Linked DNA regions of Canis lupus familiaris. The protein of the gene in region 3 binds, or shares a complex with, the protein of the main gene of each other region. Links are inferred from orthologs where the notes say so. Each region holds a gene or a part of one and is shown on either strand. Other genes may lie near its edges.

Region 1 (3,018 bases), on a different chromosome or scaffold from region 3:
ACACAAAATTAATACTGGAAAGTTTACTAAACCTTCACTTCTCAAAAGCGGTGATGCTGCCCCGGGGGGTGGGGGTGGGGGGCTTGCTTGCTTCACCTGGAATCCGAGTAACCGATTAAGGACAACTAAGAAATACGGTTTCCAAACAATAAAATAGTCATTTTGCCGACAGTTCCATAAAATCGCCAGGTTCCAGTTCAGTTATGAGGCTTTTAAAAAAATATTCTAGACCTAGTAAAGTGCCTCGTTAAAACTAACCATCCAGGGAGCAGATCGAGACCATGCATCCTGATGCGCATCTCAAACAGATCGGACGTCTACAGTAAATAAGCGGCGCCATCAAGCTGCCCTCTCAGGTAGCGGGATCCACACCCCGCCTCCTCCGTCCGGATGTGCACAAACTAGAAAGTAGAGAGCGACAAACGGGGATCGCAGCGTCCGGGCTCCCCGGCTCCCAAGTGTCGCGCGCGGCCGCCGGCTTTGGAAGGCGCCCGCACGCCCCCGGGCGGCCCGGCGGCGAGCTGCGCGGCTGTCCCCGGCGAGGGCGAGGGCGAGGGCGAGGGCGGCCCGGAGCCCGCGCGCTCAGCGCAGCTTCTTCCCGGGCGGGCAGTCCCTGGCGGGGCGCGGCGGCGGCGGCGGCGGCGGCGGCGGCTTGGAGAGCGGGCAGTACTTGATGGTGTGCGCGTTGTCGCCGCTGGCGCCGCACAGGGGGCACGTGTAGCGGCGCAGCACCGGGCACAGCACCCGCCCGTCGGGGCCCTTGAGGATGTGCGTGGTGTAGAGCGCCACCGCCTCCTTGTTGTTCCGGCAGAACACGCACACCTGCAGCTCGGGCTTGAGCAGTCGGGCGGCGGCCGCCCCGGAGGCGACGTGCAGCCGCGGCTCGGCCGCCCAGGCCGGGGCCCGCTCCTCGCGCGGCGCCACCTCGGCGGATGCGGCGGCGGCGGCGGCGGCGGCGGCGGGCGCGCAGCCCAGGAGCACGGCGGCCGCGCGACCCGCGAACGGGCTCAGCTCGGCGAAGCGCTCCTCCAGCAGCCCGGCCTCGGCGGGGCCCGCGCACAGCTCCAGCGCGCGCAGCTCCAGCGCGCCGCCCAGGTAGCGGCCCCGGGACCCCGGCTCGTCGCCGTCGCTGTCGTCGTCGTCGTCGGGCGGCCCCAGCGCCGGCCCCAGCGCCCCGGGCCCGGCCCCCGCCCCCGCGTGCGGGGAGCAGCAGGACGAGGAGGACGACGAGGGCGGGGAGGCGGAGGCGCCGCCGCCGCCGCCGCCGCCGCCGCCGCCCTCGCCGCCGAAGCGTGGCTCGCCGTCCACCGCCTTGGTGATGAGCGTGGCGAGCCCCAGGTAGTCGTTCCACGAGCTGAAGGGCTGCGGGTGCGCCGGGCCCTGGGCGCTCACGTAGCGGGCGCTGGGCACGAGCGCCATGGGCGGGGGGGCGCGGCCGCGGCTGGGCGAGCGGGGCGCCCAGGGGAAAGCCTCCATGGGCGGGCTGCGGGCCGCGGGCCGCGCGCGCCGCCTCCCCGCGGCCGGCGCGGGCCGCACGGAAGGGAAGCGCCGAGCCTGCCCGCCGGCCTGCCGCGGGGTGGGGCCGCCTCGCCGCCTTTTATCGGGCCCCGCTCCTCCCCCGGCCTCGCCGCCGCGGCCCTGCCCCCGCGCTACCCCGCCCCGGCCTCCCCGCCCGCGCCTCGGACGGAGGCGGAGCGGAGGCGGGCGCGCCAGCGGCGGGCGGGCGGGCGGGCGGGCGGGCGGTGCGCGCGCCCCGGTCCGGCCCGCGCGGCTCCCGCGCCCCTTGCGCTGCGCCAGCCTCGCCAGCTGCGGCGACTCTCACTCCGCGAGGGGGCGGGCTTAGCGCCGCCTCGGGCCCGGGCGCTCATTGGCTGCGGACCAGAGCCCCCTGCGCCGCGGGCGCCGCTCGGGACGCCGATTGGTCCATCTGCGGGAGGGGGCGTGTCCTGCCTGCGGGGCTGCGAGGGGAAGGGAAGGGAAGGGAAAGGAGAGCGGGGAACAGGAGGGGAGGGGAGGGGAGGGGAGGGGAGGGCCGGCCGCCGCGGCCCATCTTCGCCCGAGCGCCGTGCTTTGGTTTGGAGCCGGTGGCCAGGCCTGGGTCTCCCTCCGCCCGGGGGTGAGAGTCGCGGAGCACACGGGCAGGCACGGGGATGGGGGGATGCCCCAAGGTGCGCGCACCCACCTCCCGCCTTGAATGCCCCAGGTCAGCCTTCGGAGGAGCCCCCCCCCCCCCGCCGCGCCCCAGCATCAGCAGGAGAAGCTCCGGAGAGGCAGGATTTGGCGCGCGCTGGGGATGCGGTGGTGGAGACGGAGCTGCCCGACGCTCGAGGCACTCACTTCCCCTTGCGCAGCGCCCTGGAGAGCTGTCAGCCCGGGAAGGCTTCGCGCCGGCCTCGGAGGTTCAGAGAGGTTATGGTTCTTGCCTTAGGAAGCGGTGGAGGCATCAGGACTTCCCCAAGGCGCGCAGCCGACTCCCAACAGGTGTGCCGAGAGCCGGGGTGGCCGTGAGCCCCTGACTTAGGCAGGGAGGGGGTCGGGCCAGAAAATCTCCCACCCTCGGGCCGTGATTGGTGTGTGTGCGCGGAGCTCCACACCCCCGGGGTCGGGGAGGCTGTACGTGCAGCTTGAAAAAGAAAAGCATGCTCAGCGTCACAGTTAGATACTTTAAAATGAGTCCAATATTTTTGTGAAAACAATGGAAGATAAACTGGAAGTTTTTTGTTTTGTTTTGTTTTTTAGGAGGATGTGAGGTGGTCATGCCCTTCTCGCAAGAGACAACGCTTTTTACAAGATGGAGCGTAGGAAAGGTTTTGGGGACTGGGAAGAGTTGTTTTTTCCTTTTTTAAAGATTTTATTTATTTATTCATGAGAGAGACACAGAGAGAGGCAGAGACACAGGCAGAGGGAGAAGCAGGCTCCATGCAGGGACGCGGGACTCGATCCCAGGACTCCAGGATCACACCCTGGGCCAAAGGCAGGCGCCAAACCGCTGAGCCCCCCGGGGATCCCTTGGGAAGA
Region 2 (4,304 bases), on a different chromosome or scaffold from region 3:
TTTTCCCCCGTTGTCCCCGAGGCTGTGTTTACAGGCGACACAAACCCTGGTTACAAGAGAGGAACCCGGGCGTCCGGGCCGAGCCTCCTCGTCACCGCTTCCAGGAAGCCCCCCTCCCCCGCCCCTTGCGAATGAGTCACGGGCGAGCGGGAGGCTGCAACCGTGCCAAAGGCACCCGCAGCCGCCCAGCTCACGGGACCGGCCGGGAAGGCCCCTCGGCCCCAGAACGCGCCGCACAGGGATTCCCCCGAGCTCCGTCCGACCGGGCAGGTCGGTGCGCCGGGCAGTGTCTCCGCCTCGGTCCCAGCGCGCGGCCGCAGCCCGCAGAAGGCAACTTTCCGCCCGGGTAGAGCCGCACCCCGTGGCAACGACTTCAGCCCCCATGTTTTTGCACTCCGGGCACCCAGCCCACCGAGAGCCCCTTTAAAAGTGAACTTTCTCCCCAGGCCTTTGTAACAGAGTGTCACGCAGGGCACCCCCTCGACCACAGCGGCCTTGCCAGTGTGGGGAGTCACCCCCGCAGACTGGCAGTTCTCTCAAGGCAAACCCCTCCAAAAGACGCCCGTGCGACCACCAGTTGGTGGGGGGGGGGGGGACCCGTTCCTTCCACCTCCAAAAGACTTTCCATCGGAGGCAAACCCTCGTCCACAATAAAAGACACACACACACACACACACACACACACACACACACACACACACCGCCCTTTCCAATCTTGAGTTTTCTCAGAGGGCGAACTTTTACTAACAGGTTCGACAACAGTAACTCGGCCTGGGTCTCCTCGTGTGTAAAATGGGCACAATGCGTCCTTGAGTGGATGGCCGTAAAGTACTTTCACGCAGCAGAGCTGGGGGGCGGGTACCGATCAGAGGGGCCATCTGCTGCGTGAGCTCGAGGGGCCCCCTTCCTGCCTCGCCAGGGATCCGGGGTCCCCCGCCCCCGCGAGTCTCGAGGGCCAGGGGGCTGGTGACCAAGGCCTCCCGACCTGGGCTGTTTGAGCGAAATCCCCCACCTGGCCTGGGTCGCCCTTCCGTGTTGCTCCTACGGGATTTCTGGCCTGTCGGTGTTTGCTTCCCCCGGTTCATCTCCCCGCTTTTTCAGTTTACGCGACCCTCCCTCTCGCTTCCCCCTCTTTTGAGTTTGTCCCTCTGGGACTGTCTCTAACTTGTCTTTTCCGTCTCCCAACTTCCCCGCCTCTCCCTGCCTCCGGGGCGCGCGCGGCTCTCCCGCCACGGCCGCGTCCCTGCGCGGTTCTCTCCCCGGCTGCGTTCCCGGCTCTCTCCTCTCCCCGCCCCCGGCCGTCGTCCCGCGCACGCCCTCTTGGCCTCGGCCCGTGTCGATTCCCCGGGGAGCCCTGCCCCCACCACGGCCCAGTTCGCTTCTCCGCGCCTCGCTCTCTCCAGCCTTGGAAACTGGGCCGACACCCCGCTGTCCCCCCTGCCCCCTGCCCCCCCTCCCCCCGGCCCGGGGCACTCCCCGCTTGCGACCGCCCGCGGGGCCGGGCTCCGGTGCGTCCTGGCCGGGGGCCGGGCGGGCCTTGCTGGGGGCGCGCGTCCGGGAAGCGCCCCTTCTGGCCCCACCCACCCGGCCCGCCCCCCCTCGCCCGCCTCTATAAAAGCCCGGGCTCGGCCGGCCGACCGCAGCCTGACTTCAGCGCTCGCCCTCCCGGCCGACTCCTCACCCCTCGGCCGCTCGCGCCGCCATGGATCGCGCCACCATGGACCTCTCCGCCATCTACAAGGTGAGCCCCGCCGGCGACCCCCGGGCCCGCCCCCCCCGCTAGGGCGACGAGCGCCAGTGCCCACAGCTCCGGCCCGGCCCGGGGCCCTGCCGCCCTTCCCACACCCGCGCGGTTCTCAGGAGGTGAAAACAGAGCCCGCGACTTTCGTGGGGCGGCCCTCGGGGGTCGGGAGGCCGGGGGACTCGTCGGAGTCCAGGGCTGTCTGGAGGCGGAAATGGCCCCACACCTGGCCTAACCCCCAGTGGTTGCTGAGGGCGCGGTTTGGCGCGGAGGCGGCGCTGGGCGCGGAGTCTCGGGGTGAGGGGGGGCCGACTCCTGACCCTCCGGCCCTCGGGCCAGCAGGAGCTCTGGGGACTCTCAAGTCCGACGGCTTCCCGACTCCGCGGCTAACTTTGCCTGCTTCCCCAGTTGTGAAACTGGAGAACCCGATGCGAGGGGTCAGCTCCCCGGGGGCCCAGAGGCTCGAAATTGGGAGGACAGTGGTGTTGTCGGACTCTGGGGTCTTGTTTTGATCCGGCCTGGAGAGCCGGGGACTCTGGTTCCCTCGGGAGACACTTCTGTCGCGGGGAGGAAAAAATTCTGAACTTCCAAATCGGGATCCCTGCCATCCGGCACCCATATTTTAATGTGGGCAGGTGGGGCTCAGGCTGGGAGCCCACGAACCGGACTGGCAAGCTCTTAGGTGCCCTGCAGCTGGGGTGGGGCGTCACCCAGCATTTTCGGTTTCTTAACCGATCCTTGTTCCCACAGAGCCTCCTGTCGCTGAGCCCTGACATGCCATCTGACCACGGAGACACGGAGTCCATCCCAGGCTGGCCCCCCTCCGGGCTCTGGAGCCCCAGCTCACCCGAGAGGAGCCGGGTTGGGATCAGTGGCCGCCTGCCTGGCCGCTCCACCAGCCTGGTGGAGAGTCCAAGCTGTGGCTGGGTGCCACCACCCCCGGGTTTCGCACCCCTGGCTCCCCGCCCAGGCCCTGAACTGTCGCCTTCACCCACCTCACCTACTGCGACTCCCACCACCTCATCTCGGTACAAGACCGAGCTGTGTCGGACCTTCTCCGAGAGTGGGCGCTGCCGCTACGGGGCTAAGTGCCAGTTTGCCCACGGGCTGGGCGAGCTGCGCCAGGCCAGCCGCCACCCCAAGTACAAGACCGAACTCTGCCACAAGTTCTACCTCCAGGGCGGCTGCCCCTACGGCTCACGCTGCCACTTCATCCACAACCCCAGCGAAGATCTGGCTGCCCCGGGCCACCCTCATGTGCTGCGCCAGAGCATCAGCTTCTCGGGCCTGCCCTCCGGCCGCCGACCGTCACCACCACCAGCAGGCCTGGCAGGCCCTTCCCTGTCCTCCTGCTCCTTCTCTCCCTCCAGCTCCCCACCACCGCCACCTGGGGACCTTCCACTTTCACCCTCTGCCTTCTCTGCTGCCCCTGGGACCCCGGTGGCCCGAAGGGACCCCACCACAGTCTGTTGCCCCTCCTGCCGAAGGGCTACCCCCAGTAGCGTCTGGGGGCCCTTGGGTGGCCTGGCTCGGAGCCCCTCTGCACAGTCCCTGGGATCTGATCCTGAAGAATATGCCAGCAGCGGCAGCAGCCTAGGGGGATCCGACTCGCCTGTCTTCGAGGCTGGGATTTTTGGGACACCCCAGCCACCTGCAGCCCCCCGGCGACTCCCCATCTTCAACCGCATCTCTGTTTCTGAGTGACAAGTGCCTGCCCAGTACAGATCAGCTGGATTCAAGGGGGCCATTTCTCTTTTGCTGTGGGTTCCACAGGGGCCCCGGGGCTGTGGGGAACTCGGGGGACTCAATCAAGTAGCCTCCCCCTACCTTCCAAAGTGCATTAACCCACTCCCCTGACCCCACGCTGGGGCAGGTCCCCAGTGTGCAAGATCTGTGTTCATGGTGTTGGGGTGGGGAGTTTTCTGGGTCTTGTAAAAAAAAAAAAAAAGTATGTAGCAGATTTGAGGAAGGCAGTGAGCCCTCTACCCACCCCTCCCTTTCCCAATGCTGTGAATAATAGGCTCCCACTGCCCCCTCCCAATTTCTCCTAGACCCTGAGGTTCCAGAGTCTGGTGGTGACTGGAGCCTCCCCCGAGGGGGAATCCTGGTGCTCGAATTTCCCTCCAAAAGCAAGTAGCCAAAGCCATTGCCAAACACCCCCACCCCCAATTCCCCCCCCCAGCCATTGGGCTCTTTATTTATGACGACTTTATTTATTCTAATGGATTTTATAGTATTTATATATATTGGGTCGTCTGCTTCCCTTGTATTTTTCTTCCTCCTTTTTGTAATATTGGAAACGATGGAATAATTATTGTTATAAGTATGCTATAATAATATATTAAGTAATATATTGTTAAAAGTTTATTTTTGTGGTTTTTGGAATTTTTAAATAAAAGGAATCTGTGTGTAAACTGCAATCCCGGAGTCCTCTGCGGTCCAGAAGCGGTCGAGAGGGGCGGGGAGTGTTTAGAAGCGGGAGAGGGTAGGGTCCGCCGGCCGCCCCTCCGCCCCCCTCCTCCCCGCAGGCCGGGCCGCCCGCGGCGCTTACCTGGCAGGAAGT
Region 3 (3,682 bases):
TAAAACCAATGATCTACAATTTATCCCCCAATGCAAGGTACTGGTTTTCCATACTCATCATGTGTACCAAATGGGAAAAGGCCAACCAATCAACTATTCTCAGTACTTAGAATTGGACAAATGTCCCATTTACCTTCTAGAAAAAGGAAATCTCTGGACACAAACAGGGCATGTATGTTAGAAAGCACTCCAATAAATAGTACTCTTCTAAGATGGCTACTAACCTTGTGATCTGTTTGTTACACCACGGAGACCCATATGCCCGGCCATCTTGAAGAGCTTTTAACACCAAAAGGTGGCACTCCCTGTAGCGCAGCAATAGGTCAGCATCAGCACCACTTGTGGCATCTAATAAACCCTCTACAGCCTATGGAAGAAAAACAGTAGTCACAAACATGGAAAATACAGGACTCGCGGCCCAACCATCAAAGTCAAAAACCAAACCTTAACAAAAACTACAACATAGCTTCTAAAGCCTCCATTTAACAATGCCTGCACTCACCAAAATGCTTTTCACTTACCCTAACACACACAACTCTTTAAATTTTATCTAGTTTATATTCAGTGTTCTACACAGGAAATGCCCCACCATCCCTACAGGGTGAAAATCCAATGTTCCCCACCAACCCTCCCAACATCACCCAAGTACTTGGATCAATCTATTTCACCAAATCTAAAGTGCTATCTTTTAAAGTTTCTTAACTATATTTTCAAAAACTCTTAATGAAAAATTTCTGTCCCATTTCACCATTGATGACTGTCATGACTACATTCTAGAGAAAATTACTTGCCTTATTACCAAACAGAATTTGTTTTATCTGAATTCTAAAATCTTAGGATAACTTAAGGAGATGGTGGTGTGAGTCACTATATTTTAGTCTCTTCTTAAAAGTAACATTTAAGGGGATCCCTGGGTGGCTCAGCAGTTTGGCGCCTGCCTTCGGCCCAGGGTGTGATCCTGGAGTCCCGGGATCAAGTCCCATGTCAGGCTTCTGCATGGAGCCTGGTTCTCCCTCTGCCTGTGTTTCTGCAAACCGCCCCGCCACCCCCCCGCCGTATCTCATGAATGAATAAAATCTTTAAAAAAAAAAAAAAAAAAAAAGGTAACATTTAATAACTAACCTTCTGGAGCAATCCAAGAGCAGCTATAGCATCCCGAGAGTTTCGAGATAATACTACAACCTCCAAAAGACTTCTAAGAGCCTGGGCTTGAGGATTCATGGCCAAAGTTGGTGGGATGGCATGCAGGTGCTGCTCCAATTCTGTAATGCACTTATCATAAATCTGAGCTACATCATCTGTTGCCCAAGCTTGCTGTTTTACAGAAGGAGACAACCAAAAAGGAAAATTTTAAAGATTTTTCGTGCAGCAATTAAAAAGTCATTTAGTATGTTTACTCACTGAATTTTTTTCTCATTGAAACATAGAAGGGTTCTCTTCCTTTCCCCTTCCTGAACTATTCAATCTTAATAACATTAGGTGGGGCAGTGAAGTGCAAGGCAGGGATTGCCAGTGGGGGTGGGTGGGGGTGGGGGGGTGTATTTCATTTGACTGAGGAAAACCCATCACACAATCAAGTAATTAAAGCAAGCAAGATAAATAATGGGATAGGATACAGCCTAGGAAATTAGGTAATCCAAATCATGGAAAATAGTATTCAGTCCAGCTATCAAAGCCTGATAGAATAACACAAAATCATTTCTGTGATAAACCTATCAAAAATGCACTATCTAGATCTATTCCTGAGAACATATATTGGACAAACCCAAATCAAGCCGTTCTAGAAAATAACTGGCCTATAGTCTGTAGAAGTCTTGAGATCATAAAAGAGGAGGAAGAAGTGTTCTAACAGACCAACCTGGGGTGAATTTAAAAAATATAACTAACTGAAATGTGCAATTCTGAAATAGGGCCTTTTACTATAAAAAAGTGATACTGAGACACTTGATAAAACCTGAACGAGGACTAATTAAGTATCAATATATCGGTGTTAACTTCCTGATTTCAATGGCAGTACTGGCAGGAGAATGTCTTTTTAGATAATACAGACCAAAGTATTCAAGAGTGACTGGGACCTAAGGGTCAGCATTGTATATTCAAATGGTTCAGGGGGAAAATGTTTCTTCCTATATATTCAAGTTTTCTGTATATGACTATTTCAAAATGTCTTTACAAAACAAACAAAACCAAAACAAATAAAAACAGGCGAAGCCATGTGGATCACCCATGTAAATTCCTCTAGTTAGGCCAAACATGAAAATCAATTTCATGGGGGGGGGGGTGTCCCCCATATGCCAGTGCTGAGCTGATACAAAGAACAGATATACTCAATAATTGTGGGGTTAAGTTTTCCTCCTAACTTAAGCTCACAGGAAGCAAGTGATAGGTTAACAGATAAAAACATTCAAAGTAAAATGTAAAACACTCAATTTAATCCCAGGCAATGACTTACCTTCATGGGTTGAGCTAAAAATCCCGTGGGCTGACTTAAATCATTTGTGGGCAAGAAGCCAGGCACATTGCGTGCAAACTCCTCATAAACAGCCAGCTGCTTTGGGTCCACACCACCAACCTGGAAAGAAGAAGAACAATTTTGACAGGATCCTCTTTACAGAACTGAACCCAAGTTTTTTGAAAGTGGAAAGTTTGCATAGGAATAATCACGGGGGTTCTGAGAGGGGACTGAGGAGTCACTGCAACATATTGACGTTGTGTGCATGACTGAGTACGGTTTGCACGCAATTCAGTGTTTCCCATTTCCCTGATTCCTGTCAAGAGTCCCCTTCATTGATAAATTCATTTGAGTTTTTCCACTGGAAAATGCTTCAGATTGGACCAAAACAAGTCCCAATTCTCCAGTGGAGCTGGTAAAATTATCAGATTTCTCACATGATCTTTTCATAGTAAGTAACTAGCAATAAAAACTTAAGTACCAGAAGGAAAGACCAAGTTGTAAAACCAAACAAGGACATGAACTCTTTATGGTAACACTTCAACCAACTGGGAGGTGCATACATCTAAGGTTATCCTTTTTTTTTTTTTTTTTAAGATTTTATTTAATTATGGGGGGGCGGGAGGCAGAGAGAGGCAGAGGCATAGGCAGGGGGAGAAGCAGGCTCCATGCAGGGAGCCTGACATGGGACTCAATCCGGGGTCTCCAGGATCACACCCTGGGCTGAAGGCGGCACTAAACCGCTAAGCCACCTGGGCTGCCTCTAAGATTACCCTCTTTAAATATATACGTATTTGAAAGATTTTATCTTTAGGAAATCTTTTAAAGTAAGTAACTTTAAGTAATCCCTCACATGAGGCTTGAACTCCATCCCTAAAGTCAAGAGTCACACTCTACCAACTGAGCCAGCCAGGCACCCCCATCTAAGTTATCTTTCATGCCTTCTCCACAGGTAGCCTTCAAATGATATGCTACTGAGGTAGGATCTGTCTCAGAAATATACAACCCCACTGTCTTAGTGAAGAGCTTAAGCAACAAGAATAGAAAGAAAACAAAGATGGTCAGAGAAAGACAAAGCCCCGATTCTCACTTTCAGCCTGATTTGCTCTGGCATCCGCTCAGCTTGGTATGTTAACACAACAGGATCACAGTACCTGCGCCCTTCTTGCCTAGCGTGTTTTCTCAGCTCAAATTCCTGCAAATAAAAAAAGTCACTGAGGTTCTTGTTAT
Region 4 (3,682 bases), on a different chromosome or scaffold from region 3:
AAATTTTAAAAAGATAGGAAGGAAAAAAAAATAAAAAAAGGAAAGAACTACTATTGTTGATTTCTTGGGCTGTGTCTAAAAGATGATATTCTGAATGGTCTCATAGCATAAGGCACTTCGCACAAATAAGTAATAAGCTCTTCAGGCTTAAAAAACGGATGAGTAATTAGGGAGAAGTTGAAATGCACTCAAGAGTCAGCTGTTGGAGAATTTTGAAATTGTAGACAAGCTTGTGTGTTCATCAAGATTCTTCTCTTTTCAGGGTTTCTCCCCTTCTCTTCTTTCTCCTCCTTCCTTGTCCCCCTTCCCCAGAAAACATTTTTTAAAAACCAGCAGTTAGTGCAACTAATGTTCAGTCAGCACACAGTGCAAACAAGTGGAACAAAAAAGGTAAATTCCTTCTTTTCAGCTTTTTCTCTTCACCAGTTAAAAAAAAGAAAAAAATGTCTGAGCTCTTTTAAGTCTTCATAGTTCCAAAATAAAAGAAGATGAAAAACCCACAAAGAGAAGAGCATCCCCCCCAAACGATGTGTCACAGATCCAAACGAGCCTTCTGTATTTTGTGAAAGCCTAAAGGAAGAAGGAAGAAATCTAAAATTAACTTTTGTGAAGACAATATGAACCAAGATACCTAGGTTTTCACAATCTCCATCTCAAATGCTCTGTGGAGTGGCTTCTACTGAGCCTTTGCCTGCTGTAGAATCAATCCACTTAGGATTAAGGCATTTCTGCTAGGAATCCCAGAGATAGAGCAAGAGCCTCTAAATTCTGATATCCAAAACAGTTAAATCAAGAGAAACTGGGCAGCCCGGGTGGCTCAGCAGTTTAGCACTGCCTTCATCCGAGGTCCCAGTCCCAGTTGGGCTCCCTGCACGGAGCCTGCTTCTCTCTCTGCCTGTGTCTCTGCCTCTCTCTCTCTGTCTCTCATGATTAATAAATAAAATCTTTAAAAAAAAAAAGAAAGAAAGAAACTATTTTTTTTTTTAAACATCCACAAATTTGATAGCTTCCCAGGATACCAGCAAACATAGGCTACTTTTACATTAGCCTGAGGATTTTGTTTGACATTTAAGGGGGCGGGGGGAAGAAGAAAGAAAGAAAGAAAACTAAAGTGAAGAGTAATTCAGAAACTTAGAGTAACAGGCATATGGGGCGCCACGATGATTAAGCATCACATTGGTTGGCTCAGGTCACAGGGGTGGGAGGTGGTGGGGGGCGAGGGTGGGGGAGTGGCGGATGCTGCTCTGCAGGGAGTCTGCTTGTCCCTCCCCCACCCTGCTTGTGCTGTCTCAAATAAATCTTAAAAAAAAAAAAAAAAAAACCACAAAAAAAAAACAGGTAAAAATACTCATTGGTAATGTAAAAATTACCACCTCTCAAATAAAAGACTTCCCTTGGAAAAAACTGCAAAACAGCCTGAATTCCTTGATGCTGGGTCTTCTTTTGAGCACTGCTAGCAAAGCCCAATAGTCCACCAATGAAAAGAGAGGGTGGTACAGGAAACCAGAGTGAGTATTTAAAAAAAGACAATTATCCTCACAACCTGATTACACATTTGGCAACGAGGTACTTCAGGTAATTATCTTGATTTACTACAACGTCCAGTAGAAATTAAGAGTGATACTAACAAAAGAAGAATGACTAAGTGATAAAAGACCAAAAAAAATTAGTTTCATCTTCAAGTTGCTGAGAAAAAGATTCTACTTTGCTTTATTTTGAAGTCTGGATTTGTCTTAAGTACTGCTCGTGGATCACATCATACAGGAAAACTGCATTCAAGAACAGTATCCATGGATTCTCTCAGGAGACAACAACTTCCCCCAAGCACACCCGGTTTACCATCATTCATGCCAACAGGTTCTACGCTGTCTCTGCTAGTACGTGTGGTGTAACAGCAAATTTCCTCCAGGAAGGAGGATCTTGCTTTCTTTCCTTTCTTTCACCACTATGCTCCCTAGCGCTATGCAGGGTACGCACATGCTTGTTAGGGCTTCTCATCCTCCACGGGCTCGCTGTGGTATTCTGCCACATACAGGCTCTTGTCAATGTTGCTTGGGATCGGTTTAATTTCTGTTCCCAGCTGCTCCTCAATACTTTTCAGGTTGAAGCGATCATCATATGTGATCAAGTTGATGGCTAAGCCAAGATGACCAAAGCGACCTAATGAAAAAACATTAATCGATTTTTTAAAAAGGAGTTAAATATTAGAATCGATATGTATGTGCAAATCTCTCAGTGGCAAAAGCATACCAGATTATTAACAGTTTTGTTCAGTCCCATTCTCAGTGTATGCCTTCAGATTTCACAGCCCAAAGCAGTACCCTATTTATAGGCCTTTTTCAAATGATAAAAGAGGCTCATTTGTGTCAAAAGTTGCCAAAATACAGATACTAAATAGTAGTTATAGACTGCACTACCTAATAAGAAAAGTGAGGATCTCATTTGTGAATTTTGTATCAATTTAAGCATACAGTCAAAATATTTTAACTTTTCTTAAATGCTCTAGAAAAATTAGAAATAAAAAAACTAAGTAAATTTTAATTCACTGTTCTCATTGTTACTACACTCTACTTCACAAAAGAACAGAATTTAGTGATTATACTTCTCAAAACACTCCTGTGAAGAACATCTTCCTTTTCCTTACCTGATCTTCCAATACGATGGAGATAGGTCTCTGCCAGCTTTGGGAAGTCAAAGTTTATTACCACATTCACAGCTTGTATATCAATACCTCGGGTAAACAAATCTTAAAAGAAAAAGAAAGAATCTCCATCACATCTTTCAATTTAGGCATGTCTTTGTACACACCTTAACATGCATTTCTTTTTTTTTTTTTTAAAGATTTTATTTATTTATTCATGATAGTCACACACAGAGAGACAGAGAGGCAGAGACACAGGCAGAGGGAGAAGCAGGCTCCATGCAAGGAGCCCGACGTGGGATTCGATCCCAGGTCTCCAGGATCGCACCCCGGGCCAAAGGCAGGCGCCAAACCGCTGCGCCACCCAGGGATCCCTTAACATGTATTTCTAGTGCAACTTAAGTTTTAGTCACTTCATTCAGCAATTCAAATGTACTTGCAAACTAGCATTACATTTATGCTCATTATTGTACTAACTTTTACCCAGCAAATTACCTTTCCTAGTCCCATAAAGTTTTAAAAAATACTATAAGGTAACTACAAGAGAAAGAAGAGGTCAGAATGACTGGTAAACTAGAAACTCCTATATGTCTCAGGAGTAATTTTCATATACTTTTTAGTATGTAATCCAAGATTCAAATAGATTAAAAACTGCTGTATAACCAAGAATACATCAAAAACAAGATAATCCACTTGTAGTAATTATTTATACTTTTTTAATTCATTTCATTCTACTAGGTGATTTACAAGTCTGAGGCAAGCACAAGACCACCTCTTTACTTCTCTAGTCCAACAATTACTGTGCTGATTTAGGCTTTGAAAACTACAAGAAAAGACAATTACGATAGACAAATTCCAGCGCTTCTATCAGCTCCTACCCTCCAAAATAATCCAGGACAGTGACCAGTATTTCTAAAATACTGTTTTCAACTTATAACTCATTCTTTTAAATTGCCTCCAGATAAAATTAAAATTGACATAGAAGGTCCTGCACTCTATACTTTGGCCCTAACACAGTTCTCTGACAAGTCTTCTCAAACC

Evidence for each region.
Region 1: the proteins of CNOT1 (region 3) and NANOS1 are in contact, whole or in part, in a crystal structure (PDB 4CQO), measured with the Homo sapiens proteins. The link is inferred for Canis lupus familiaris from reciprocal best matches to the Homo sapiens genes CNOT1 and NANOS1. Residues at the interface, in NP_057368.3 of Homo sapiens: Ile2327, Ile2330, Lys2331, Trp2338, Glu2350, Phe2353, Gln2354, Val2356, Ala2357, Met2361; in NP_955631.1 of Homo sapiens: Phe40, Ser41, Ser42, Trp43, Tyr46, Leu47, Leu49, Thr51.
Region 2: the proteins of CNOT1 (region 3) and ZFP36 are in contact, whole or in part, in a crystal structure (PDB 4J8S), measured with the Homo sapiens proteins. The link is inferred for Canis lupus familiaris from reciprocal best matches to the Homo sapiens genes CNOT1 and ZFP36. Residues at the interface, in NP_057368.3 of Homo sapiens: Gln821, Glu835, Asp845, Ala848, Asn849, Phe852, Gln853, Tyr856, Asn894, Glu897, Glu898, Phe901, Gln904, Tyr905, Pro906, Glu909; in NP_003398.3 of Homo sapiens: Arg314, Arg315, Leu316, Pro317, Ile318, Phe319, Arg321, Ile322, Ser323, Val324, Ser325.
Region 4: the proteins of CNOT1 (region 3) and DDX6 are in contact, whole or in part, in a crystal structure (PDB 4CRW), measured with the Homo sapiens proteins. The link is inferred for Canis lupus familiaris from reciprocal best matches to the Homo sapiens genes CNOT1 and DDX6. Residues at the interface, in NP_057368.3 of Homo sapiens: Glu1097, Ala1100, Phe1101, Phe1103, Asn1104, Asn1105, Leu1106, Ser1107, Ser1109, Asn1110, Lys1114, Lys1137, Arg1138, Ile1141, Glu1142, Asn1144, Phe1145, Leu1148, Tyr1149; in NP_001244120.1 of Homo sapiens: Phe329, Ser330, Arg331, Leu332, Gln333, Ile334, Asn335, Gln336, Leu357, Gly358, Tyr359, Ser360, Leu384, Arg386, Asn387, Ala402.

Annotation. Positions count from the first base shown.
Region 1 is NC_049249.1:29,582,888-29,585,905, reverse strand, and holds NANOS1 (nanos homolog 1), read right to left. Parts: upstream 1,477-3,018; coding exon 583-1,476; downstream 1-582. Other genes in the region: basic proline-rich protein-like, read left to right, coding at 1,475-1,825, 2,026-2,481, 2,740-2,802. UniProt on the Homo sapiens protein: May act as a translational repressor which regulates translation of specific mRNAs by forming a complex with PUM2 that associates with the 3'-UTR of mRNA targets. Capable of interfering with the proadhesive and anti-invasive functions of E-cadherin.
Region 2 is NC_049222.1:114,602,891-114,607,194, reverse strand, and holds ZFP36 (mRNA decay activator protein ZFP36), read left to right. Parts: upstream 1-1,604; 5' UTR 1,605-1,702; coding exon 1,703-1,741; intron 1,742-2,491; coding exon 2,492-3,445; 3' UTR 3,446-3,742; downstream 3,743-4,304. UniProt on the Homo sapiens protein: Zinc-finger RNA-binding protein that destabilizes several cytoplasmic AU-rich element (ARE)-containing mRNA transcripts by promoting their poly(A) tail removal or deadenylation, and hence provide a mechanism for attenuating protein synthesis.
Region 3 is NC_049223.1:57,388,220-57,391,901, reverse strand, and holds part of CNOT1 (CCR4-NOT transcription complex subunit 1), read right to left. Parts: intron 3,648-3,682; coding exon 3,543-3,647; intron 2,573-3,542; coding exon 2,453-2,572; intron 1,315-2,452; coding exon 1,123-1,314; intron 368-1,122; coding exon 225-367; intron 1-224.
Region 4 is NC_049226.1:15,055,032-15,058,713, reverse strand, and holds part of DDX6 (probable ATP-dependent RNA helicase DDX6), read right to left. Parts: intron 2,747-3,682; coding exon 2,645-2,746; intron 2,161-2,644; coding exon 1,985-2,160; 3' UTR 1,978-1,984; intron 571-1,977; 3' UTR 1-570.